Linked DNA regions of Macaca fascicularis. The protein of the gene in region 1 interacts with the protein of each later gene in a biochemical or structural test. Links are inferred from orthologs where the notes say so. Each region holds a gene or a part of one and is shown on either strand. Other genes may lie near its edges.

The links. The genes of interacting proteins can lie anywhere in the genome.
Region 2: of the proteins of KAT2B (region 1) and histone H2B type 1-B, one has a biochemical effect on the other in vitro, tested with the Homo sapiens proteins (3 studies listed by BioGRID). The link is inferred for Macaca fascicularis from reciprocal best matches to the Homo sapiens genes KAT2B and H2BC3.

The regions. Positions count from the first base shown.
Region 1 is NC_088376.1:28,389,037-28,393,118, reverse strand, and holds the start of KAT2B (histone acetyltransferase KAT2B), read left to right. Parts: upstream 1-1,282; 5' UTR 1,283-1,357; coding exon 1,358-1,660; intron 1,661-4,082. UniProt on the Homo sapiens protein: Functions as a histone acetyltransferase (HAT) to promote transcriptional activation. Has significant histone acetyltransferase activity with core histones (H3 and H4), and also with nucleosome core particles.
Region 2 is NC_088378.1:146,884,712-146,888,906, forward strand, and holds the start of histone H2B type 1-B, read left to right. Parts: upstream 1-1,395; 5' UTR 1,396-1,448; coding exon 1,449-1,825; intron 1,826-4,195. UniProt on the Homo sapiens protein: Core component of nucleosome. Nucleosomes wrap and compact DNA into chromatin, limiting DNA accessibility to the cellular machineries which require DNA as a template.

The sequences.
Region 1 (4,082 bases):
AAACAGCCCTGGACTTTTAAAACCTGCTTTAAGAAGGCGATCAACCGTACGCCACTTTCAAACGCAGCACTGACATGTATGCTCCACAGTCATCAACAGAGAAAACAACAGTTTTCAACAAGAGTTGAAAACTGAGTTGAGGGTTTTTTTTTTTTTTTTTTTTTTTTTTTAAGTTTGAGGCCAAAATCGGTATTTATTCTTTTGAATGATGCTTATATCTTTTTCCTGGTTAATATGCACGCTGGTGGTACAATTTTGAAAACTACGTAACGTGATAGAACCACCACCCAGAAACGAGTCCTGTTAACAAACTTTTTGTATTCAAACTTTTTCCACTGCACATAGTTTTTATTTTGACAATGCTTTTAGACAATCGTTCTTTTAGCAACCAGCACTTTCAAACAAAAAGTACAGGGAATAGTAAGTTTTTTCCCCCTCCTCTGGCAGATTTGACCCACAAATTGCTATAGGAAGAAAGTGTTAATTATATTAAAACATAGTTTGACAGAAAGTATTTAAAAAGAGAAAGGGAAAACATCACGCTTTTATTTTGGTGAATTAGCAACAAAGAAAAGGATTAGCATGGACGGGTACTTTTCAAAAATATTTTTTTTTTCCTCTGGCTCCCGCTAGGGTGGAGGAAGTTGTCTCTGCTCAGAGACAGGGTGGAAGAGAGTGGAAGGACAAATGACTGAGAGGCGGCCCCCTCCCACTGGTGCGGGCGTGCGGGGGTCGGATGGGGGGCCGCGGAGGGGGGAGGTGGCCAGCAGGTGCCTGGGCTCCAGTCCCCTACCCCCACCCTCGTCCCCACCCTCACCCACACCCAGGGATTGGCCTCGCCCCCTGGCGGGCGAGCAGTAGGTGTCGAGGCACTGGGGTGGGGGGTGCAAACCCCGCGGGCAGCGGAAAAGAAGCCGTGGGGGGCCTCCCGGCCCCGGCACACACTGCGAGGCTGGCACCCGCCCGCACGCACACCCAGTCCGCAGCCCCGAGGAACATGTCCGCAGCCAGGGCGCGGAGCAGAGTCCCGGGCAGGATAACCAAGGAAGGGCGTGTGCTGTGGCGGCGGTGGCAGCGGCAGCGGCAGCGGCAGCGGAGCCGCTAGTCCCCTCCCTCCTGGGGGAGCAGCTGCCGCCGCCGCCGCCGCCGCCACCATCAGCTCGCGGGGCCCGGCCGGAGCTAGCCCGGCGAGCGGCGCGCGAGGGGGAGGGCGGGGGCGGGGAGGGGGGTGGGCGAAGGGGGCGGGAGGGCGTGGGGGGAGGGTCTCGCTCTCCCGACGACCAGAGCCCGAGAGGGAGACCCTGGCGGCGGCGGCGGCGCCTGACACTCGGCGCCTCCTGCCGTGCTCCGGGGCGGCATGTCCGAGGCTGGCGGGGCCGGGCCGGGCGGCTGCGGGGCAGGAGCCGGGGCAGGGGCCGGGCCCGGGGCGCTGCCCCCGCAGCCCGTGGTGCTGCCGCCCGCGCCCCCGCAGGGCTCCCCCTGCGCCGCTGCTGCCGGGGGCTCGGGCGCCTGCGGTCCGGCAACGGCAGTGGCTGCAGCGGGCACGGCCGAAGGACCGGGAGGCGGTGGCTCGGCCCGAATCGCCGTGAAGAAGGCGCAACTACGCTCCGCTCCGCGGGCCAAGAAACTGGAGAAACTCGGAGTGTACTCCGCCTGCAAGGTACGCGCTCGCCGTTCTCGGACCGCGGATGGGTGCTAGGGGCCCAGCCCGCGGGACCCCCCTCCCCCTCCCGCTTCCACCTCCGCCTCCCGCCTTCTGCCTTCTGCCTCTCGCCTCCCGCCTCCCGCCTGGGGCCGCTGCACCGCGGAAGTGCTCTTGTCGCCCGAGCCCAATTAGCTTCTTCTTGGATAAGAGTCCTGCTGGGTTTGAAGAAGGGGATCACTAAGACGGAGAGCCCTTCATTCCTTCCGCTTGAAAGGAGTAGCTTCGGAATCCGAGCTCCCGGGCTACTCTGGGGTTTTGTTGCTCTGTAGGAGCTCGCTGGAGTCACTTTCGCGGGAGTGGAGCGGTGCTCTCCATGTGGTGGGCGACCCAGGGGCAGGGAAACATCTTTTGGGGGACTGAGTGGTCCCTTCTGCAGTCCATCCCTTCCCGTGTCCCACTGGGAGGAACTGGGTGCAAGGAGTCGGGGTGGAGAAGACTCCCGGACTCCTGGCGCTTTGGGAAAGCGAAGGGGAGGAAAGCGCGGGGTGCGAAGGTGGGCAGAGCCCGAGGCGAGGGTCTTGTGGCGCCTGACGCCCTCGGCTGGGGGCGGAGGCGCTGCCGCGCGCAGTGACAGCCCTGTCATTATTGTATTATTACTTGTTTAGTTAAAACGCTGTCCCAGCTGCTCGAGGTGTAAACAGGATTTGGCAAGGTGACAGCCCAGCGCCGCGGACGCTACTGCTTGGTTTGAGGACACCCATTTCTTGCTACCCACTCTCCGTGCCAGTTTAGGCACCCTGTCATCCCCAGCTGCAGATCCAGATGTGGGGGCCGTGCTCCCGAGGTGGGAGGATTGCCCGAGGCCGCGGGGCAGGCTGGCCCTGCGCTGTCAGCAGCGGCTTTGTTTTGACAGGGTGACAGCTGAGGGGGGCGGGGACTTGGCCTTGTCAGCTCCTGCGGCCTGTGGCAGAGGCAGGGAAGAGACACACTCACACACACTCACACACCTCCCTGTATTCTTCCTGCCTGCTGCAAAGAGGGTCAAGTTCCCAGATTCCGGATTCCCAATTCCCACAACCAAGCTGCAGTGGCCACTTCTGAATTTTGATATAACTATTATTTATTCTACTGGAACATCTGGGTTATACTCTTCTTAGTACTTACAGGAGCTTCTTAGTCACAATGGAATGTCTGTGCTTGCTCTTTTTCCACACCGTATCCTCATGTTTATGTTGAGCACCTCTGTATCCTATACTGGTTCGATAAATATTTGTTGAGTGAATGTGGGATCTAGCCCAGTGCTCCTCAAACTTTCATGTGCATGGGAATCTCCTGGGGAAGCTGGTTAAAATGCTGATTCTGAATCAGGTGGTCTGAGGTGGAAGCTAAGAGTTTGCATTTCTGACGAACTCCCAAGTGGCACTACGCTAGTCCACAGACCACATTCCAATTCAGACCTGGACAGTATATTATTTGTCCCCGTTGAATTTAGCAGAAAAGACAGAAACAAATAATAATGCCGTGTGGTTATTTCTGAAGAAGGAATGCAAAAAAGATGAAGTGGGGAGTGTGCTTTTTGAAAGGTGCAAGCCCAGGAGTTGATCATGAAGGGCATTAGATGAATGAGAACAGGCCACTGACTGTAGTAGGCAGAAGGGAGAGCTAGGTACAGAATTAAGAACAAGGTCGTGAGTTCAGGGCATACTGCTTGGGTGATGGATACACCAAAATCTCACAGATCACCACTCAAGAATTTATGTAATCAAACACCACCTGTTCCCCCAAAACCTATGAAAAAAAAAAAGCAAGGTCAATTACTTGGTGGCCTTGGCGTTTTGCAGCCAAAGTGGGCTCATGCAGGAACTGTGTCAACTCAGTGTTTCTGTCCTGGCTTTATTTTAACATTTGTTTATTGGGTTATCATTACCAGCACCTCTTAAAGACTTCCTGCTGCCTGCTGTAGCTTTAATATCTGAAAACTTTCCTGAAGTTTTGGTTTTGTCTAAAACCATGAGCATATGTGGCCTGCATTGATGTTTTTGATCTTTTCAAATTTCCATGGGTGAGATGTAGCACCACTTCCAAAGTTTGAGATTTGAGTGTTTTCTGGTCACTTTCATGACCAAACAAGAGAAATAGAAAATTTATTTTAAGGCCTTTTTTTTTTTTTTTTTTTTTGAAACAGGATCTCACACTGCCTGCAGGCTGGAGTGCAGTGGCATGATTGTAGCTCACTGCAGACTCAATCTCCCTGGGCTCAGGTGATCCTCCTACATCAGCCTCCTGACTAGCTGGGGCTACAGGCATGCACCAGTACACTATTATTATTATTTTTTGTATTCTTTGTAGAGACAGGGTTTCACCTTGTTGCCCAGGCTGTTCTCGAACTCCTGAGCCCAAGCACTTTGCCCGCCTTGGCTTCCCAAAGTGCTGGGAT
Region 2 (4,195 bases), on another chromosome or scaffold:
TTTAATGTAAATTCCGATTCAGTAAGTTTGCGTGGGACTTGAAATTCTGCATTCCTGACAGTCTTGAAAGTTATCAGTGCTGGTGAACACTCACTAAACCACCAGAAACGTTGACTGCCTCATGTCGGAAACTACTTACATTCAGAGAATGAGAATTCCATGCTATTTTGTTACTGGTCAACAGCCAGTTTCCTTATCCTTCGTTTTCTAAGTCCAAGTCACATTCCCACCCTGACTGTTCTCAAACTGTCTTATTTTGGTTGGCTTTAGTTTCACTTTGTATACTCTAAAATGTAGTTTCTTAAAGAAGATATTTCCTCGAAACTTAATTTTTAAACACCATTAGGCTAGGGGGGCCGTGGCTCACGCCTGTAATCCCAGCATTTTGGGAGGGCAAGATGGGAGGATCACTTGAGGCCAGGAGTTCAAGACAACCCTAGCTAAAATGGTGAAAACCCCGTCTCGAATAAAAATACAAAAATTGGCTAGGCGTGGTAGCAGACGCCTGTAATCCCAGGTACAAAGGAGGCTGAGGCATGAGAACCTGGTGAAGCCGCGGGGTGGAGGTTGCAGTGAGCCGATATCGCGCGGCGGCATTCCAGCTTGGGTGACAGAGCGAAACTCTGTCTCAAACCAATCCAAACCAAAACCAAAAGGTACCCGAAACACAAGCAAGTTACCATCCTTTCTTGTGAAACAATGGACGGTTCTGAAAAATGCCGTAGCAAGTTTAAGGTACGTTTTCTGGCTTGAGTGGGCTTTACTTGCTTTTGGCCTTATCGTGGTTCTCGGTTATTTTTGCAACAGGACGGCCTGAATATTGGCCAGGACGCCTCCCTGAGTAATAGTGACTTTGCCCAGCAGCTTGTTGAGCTGCTCGTCGTTGCGGAAGGCCAGCTGCAAGTGGCGGGGGATGCTATGGGTCTTGTCACGTATGGCGCTGCGTGTCAGCTCCAGGATATCGGCGGCCAGGTATTCTAAGTACAGCGGCGCGCCGGCTTCGACAGGCTCAGAATAATTGCCCTTTCGAAAAAGACGATGGACCCTGCGCTACTAGAAACTGCAAGGCTGGTACCGATGAACAACTTTGTGCTTTACTTCCGTTTTCCATGTCCAAACACAGCGACCTCTGAAAACTGTAAAAAACAAGCAAGATGGAATGGCGCCTGAAGAAATACTTTTATACAAACTGCAAGGCTGCAATAGAGAGTTATCCTATTGGTCAATTATGTTTCCTGCTTTATCCAATAGAAAAAGAGTCCATAAATTCCATATTTGCATAAACCCCACCCCTCAGTGAAACTGTATTTCTTTTATCCAATCAGAAGTGAGGAATCTTAAACCGTCATTTGAATCTCAGGACTATAAATACGTGGGCTCTGAACTGTTCTCTCTACTACTCTGCTGGAGAGTGTTAGTAGCTTTTTTGTTTTGTTTTAGGAATAGCGATGCCTGAACCCTCTAAGTCTGCTCCTGCCCCTAAAAAGGGCTCTAAGAAGGCCATCACTAAGGCGCAGAAGAAGGATGGTAAGAAGCGTAAGCGCAGCCGAAAGGAGAGCTATTCCATCTATGTGTACAAGGTTCTGAAGCAGGTCCACCCCGACACCGGCATCTCCTCCAAGGCCATGGGGATCATGAACTCCTTTGTCAATGACATCTTCGAGCGCATCGCGGGCGAAGCTTCCCGCCTGGCGCACTACAACAAGCGCTCGACCATCACCTCCAGGGAGATCCAGACGGCTGTGCGCCTGCTGCTGCCCGGGGAACTGGCTAAGCATGCTGTGTCCGAGGGCACCAAGGCTGTTACCAAGTACACTAGCTCCAAGTAAGTGCTTATGTAAGCACCTCCAAACCCAAAGGCTCTTTTCAGAGCCACCTACTTTGTCGCAAAGAGAGCTATAACCACAATTTCTTAAGGTGGTGCTGCCTCTGTTCTGCTTCAGTTCTAGAGGATCAACTAGAATGTTAGCGAAGGCAACTTTTAGAGCCAAGGTTAACTTGGGGCAGCGCGCCGTGGCTGTCGCCTTTAATCCCAGCATTTTGGGAGGCCGAGGCGGGCGGATCACTTGACGTCAGGAGTTCGAGACTAGCCCGGCCAACATGGTCTCTATTAAAAATACAAACGTTAGGAGGGTGCTGGCGCTCTTTCTCATCTGCCTTTAGCAAACTTCTTTGTTCCCCCTGGGTAAGCCTTCGGGTACTAGTTGTAATTCATTTGATATGGTCACTACTCCCTCCCTGGTCTAGCACAGGAAACTTTCCTTTCTGGATAATGAAACAAGTAATGCAATTCAGGGTACAGTGTTTCTATGGGGGTCATTAGCCGTTAACCGCTTGAGATGAGGGGGAGGGGAGCAGAAAAGTCTAAGCGACAAAAGGGCGTGTAGGGATATTTGCTCCTGCAGTTTGCCTATGCTGTAAATTCTTACCTCCAGTAAGAAGGAAAGATTTCCTCCAGTATTGAGGAAACAGTAAGCGAAGTCTGATTTCCCGGGCGCCTTTGTAGGGAATATTTCCCGTTCCACAAAATGAAATCGCAGTAGTTTTGCGTTATAATTGTTTATCAATGACAACAGCTATGTAGTTTACATATTTCATGCATCCCAGAAATCCAGATTCCCATTTCCTAGGCCACTTAAAATTCGGATTTCCAGCTCTGCGAGATACAAAAGGGTTTGAATTTTGTGCCTTTCCCCAACTGGCCCTACTGCAAAGATACTAGGAAGGCCCCACTTGGAGAGGGAAGCATTTTTCAAGAAATCCGGGACGCCAAAAACAATATAGCTAGAAAAAGGCAGGAAGGGTACTAGTTGAGGAGGACTTAATGGGCCAATTCTTGGTCTGGGGCTGGGGGAAGAAATGGAAGAAGAAAAGAACCTGTTGATTGCACACTAAGTAGGAGGGGATGGGGGAATCGGAGGGGAGTATTTTAAGTGAACTTACGGGCATTATATGTAGGTGACATTCAGCAGTGTCTTCGGATGAAGAAATAAAGTTTCTCAAACAGTTATTGTTTCTGTTTTGAGAAATGGTCTTGCTCTGTTGGCCAGGTGCCATCATAGCTCACTGCAGCCTCGACTTCTCCAGCTCAAGCTATCCTCTAACTTCAGCCCCTTGAGTACCTGGGACTACAGAAATGCGCCACCACACCCAGTTAATTTTTTAATTTTTTGTGGAGGCAAAGGGTCTTACTATCTTGCCCAGGCTGGTCAAGTGAACTCCTGGGCTCAAGTGATCCTCCCGCCTTGGCCTCCCAAAGTGCTGAGATCGTAGGAATGAGTCACCGCGCCCGGCCCAGATTTAATTTTTAAGAATATTTTAAAAGAGGTTCTGGGCCGGGTGTGGTGCAGCTCACGCCTGTAATACCAGCACTTTGGGAGGCCAAGGTGGGAGGATCACTTGAGCCTAGGAGCTCAAGACCAGTCTGGGCAACTTAGTGAGTCTGTCTCCACCAAAAATTTAAAAATTAACCAGGCCTGGTGGCACATTTCTGTAGTCCCAACTACTGGGGAGGTTGAAGTGGGAGGATCATTTGAGCCTGGAAGGTGGAGGTTGCAGTAAGCTGTGATGACACCACTGCACTCCAGCCTGGGTGAGGACAGACCCTGTCTCAAAAATAAAAAAAAAATCTGGATGCCACACAAAATGTCAGTGAACAACTGTAAGTGAAGCACTTCCCATCCTAGTACTGTATATGCAAACTACCGTTGTGAAAGAGACGCTTGTGTTTTAAAAAATCTATAATTTTTTTTAAAATTATAAAACGACCACCTCCCCCAAAACATTACTAAGCAATTGAGGCTGCAGTTTAAGAAACTGATATTTAGGATCTTTCCCCGGAGAAGTGAGACCTGCTAATATAAGCATTTGCAAAATGAACTTTTGGGCCAGGTGCATCATGCCTGTAATCTCAGCACTTTGGGAGACTTAGTCAGGCAGACCACTTGAGCTCACAATTCGAGACCAGCCTGGGCAACATGGCGAAATCCAGTCTCTACAAAAAATTAGCTGGGCGTTGTGGCATATGCCTATAGTTCCAGTTACTAGAGAGGCTGAGGTGGGAGGATTACTTGAGCCTGGGAGGTAGAGGTTGCAGCAAGCCAAGATCGCGCCGTGACAACCTGAGTGACAGAATGAGACACACCCCCCCAAAAAAACAGCCTGACTCATTAAAAAAAAAATTTAAAAATATTAA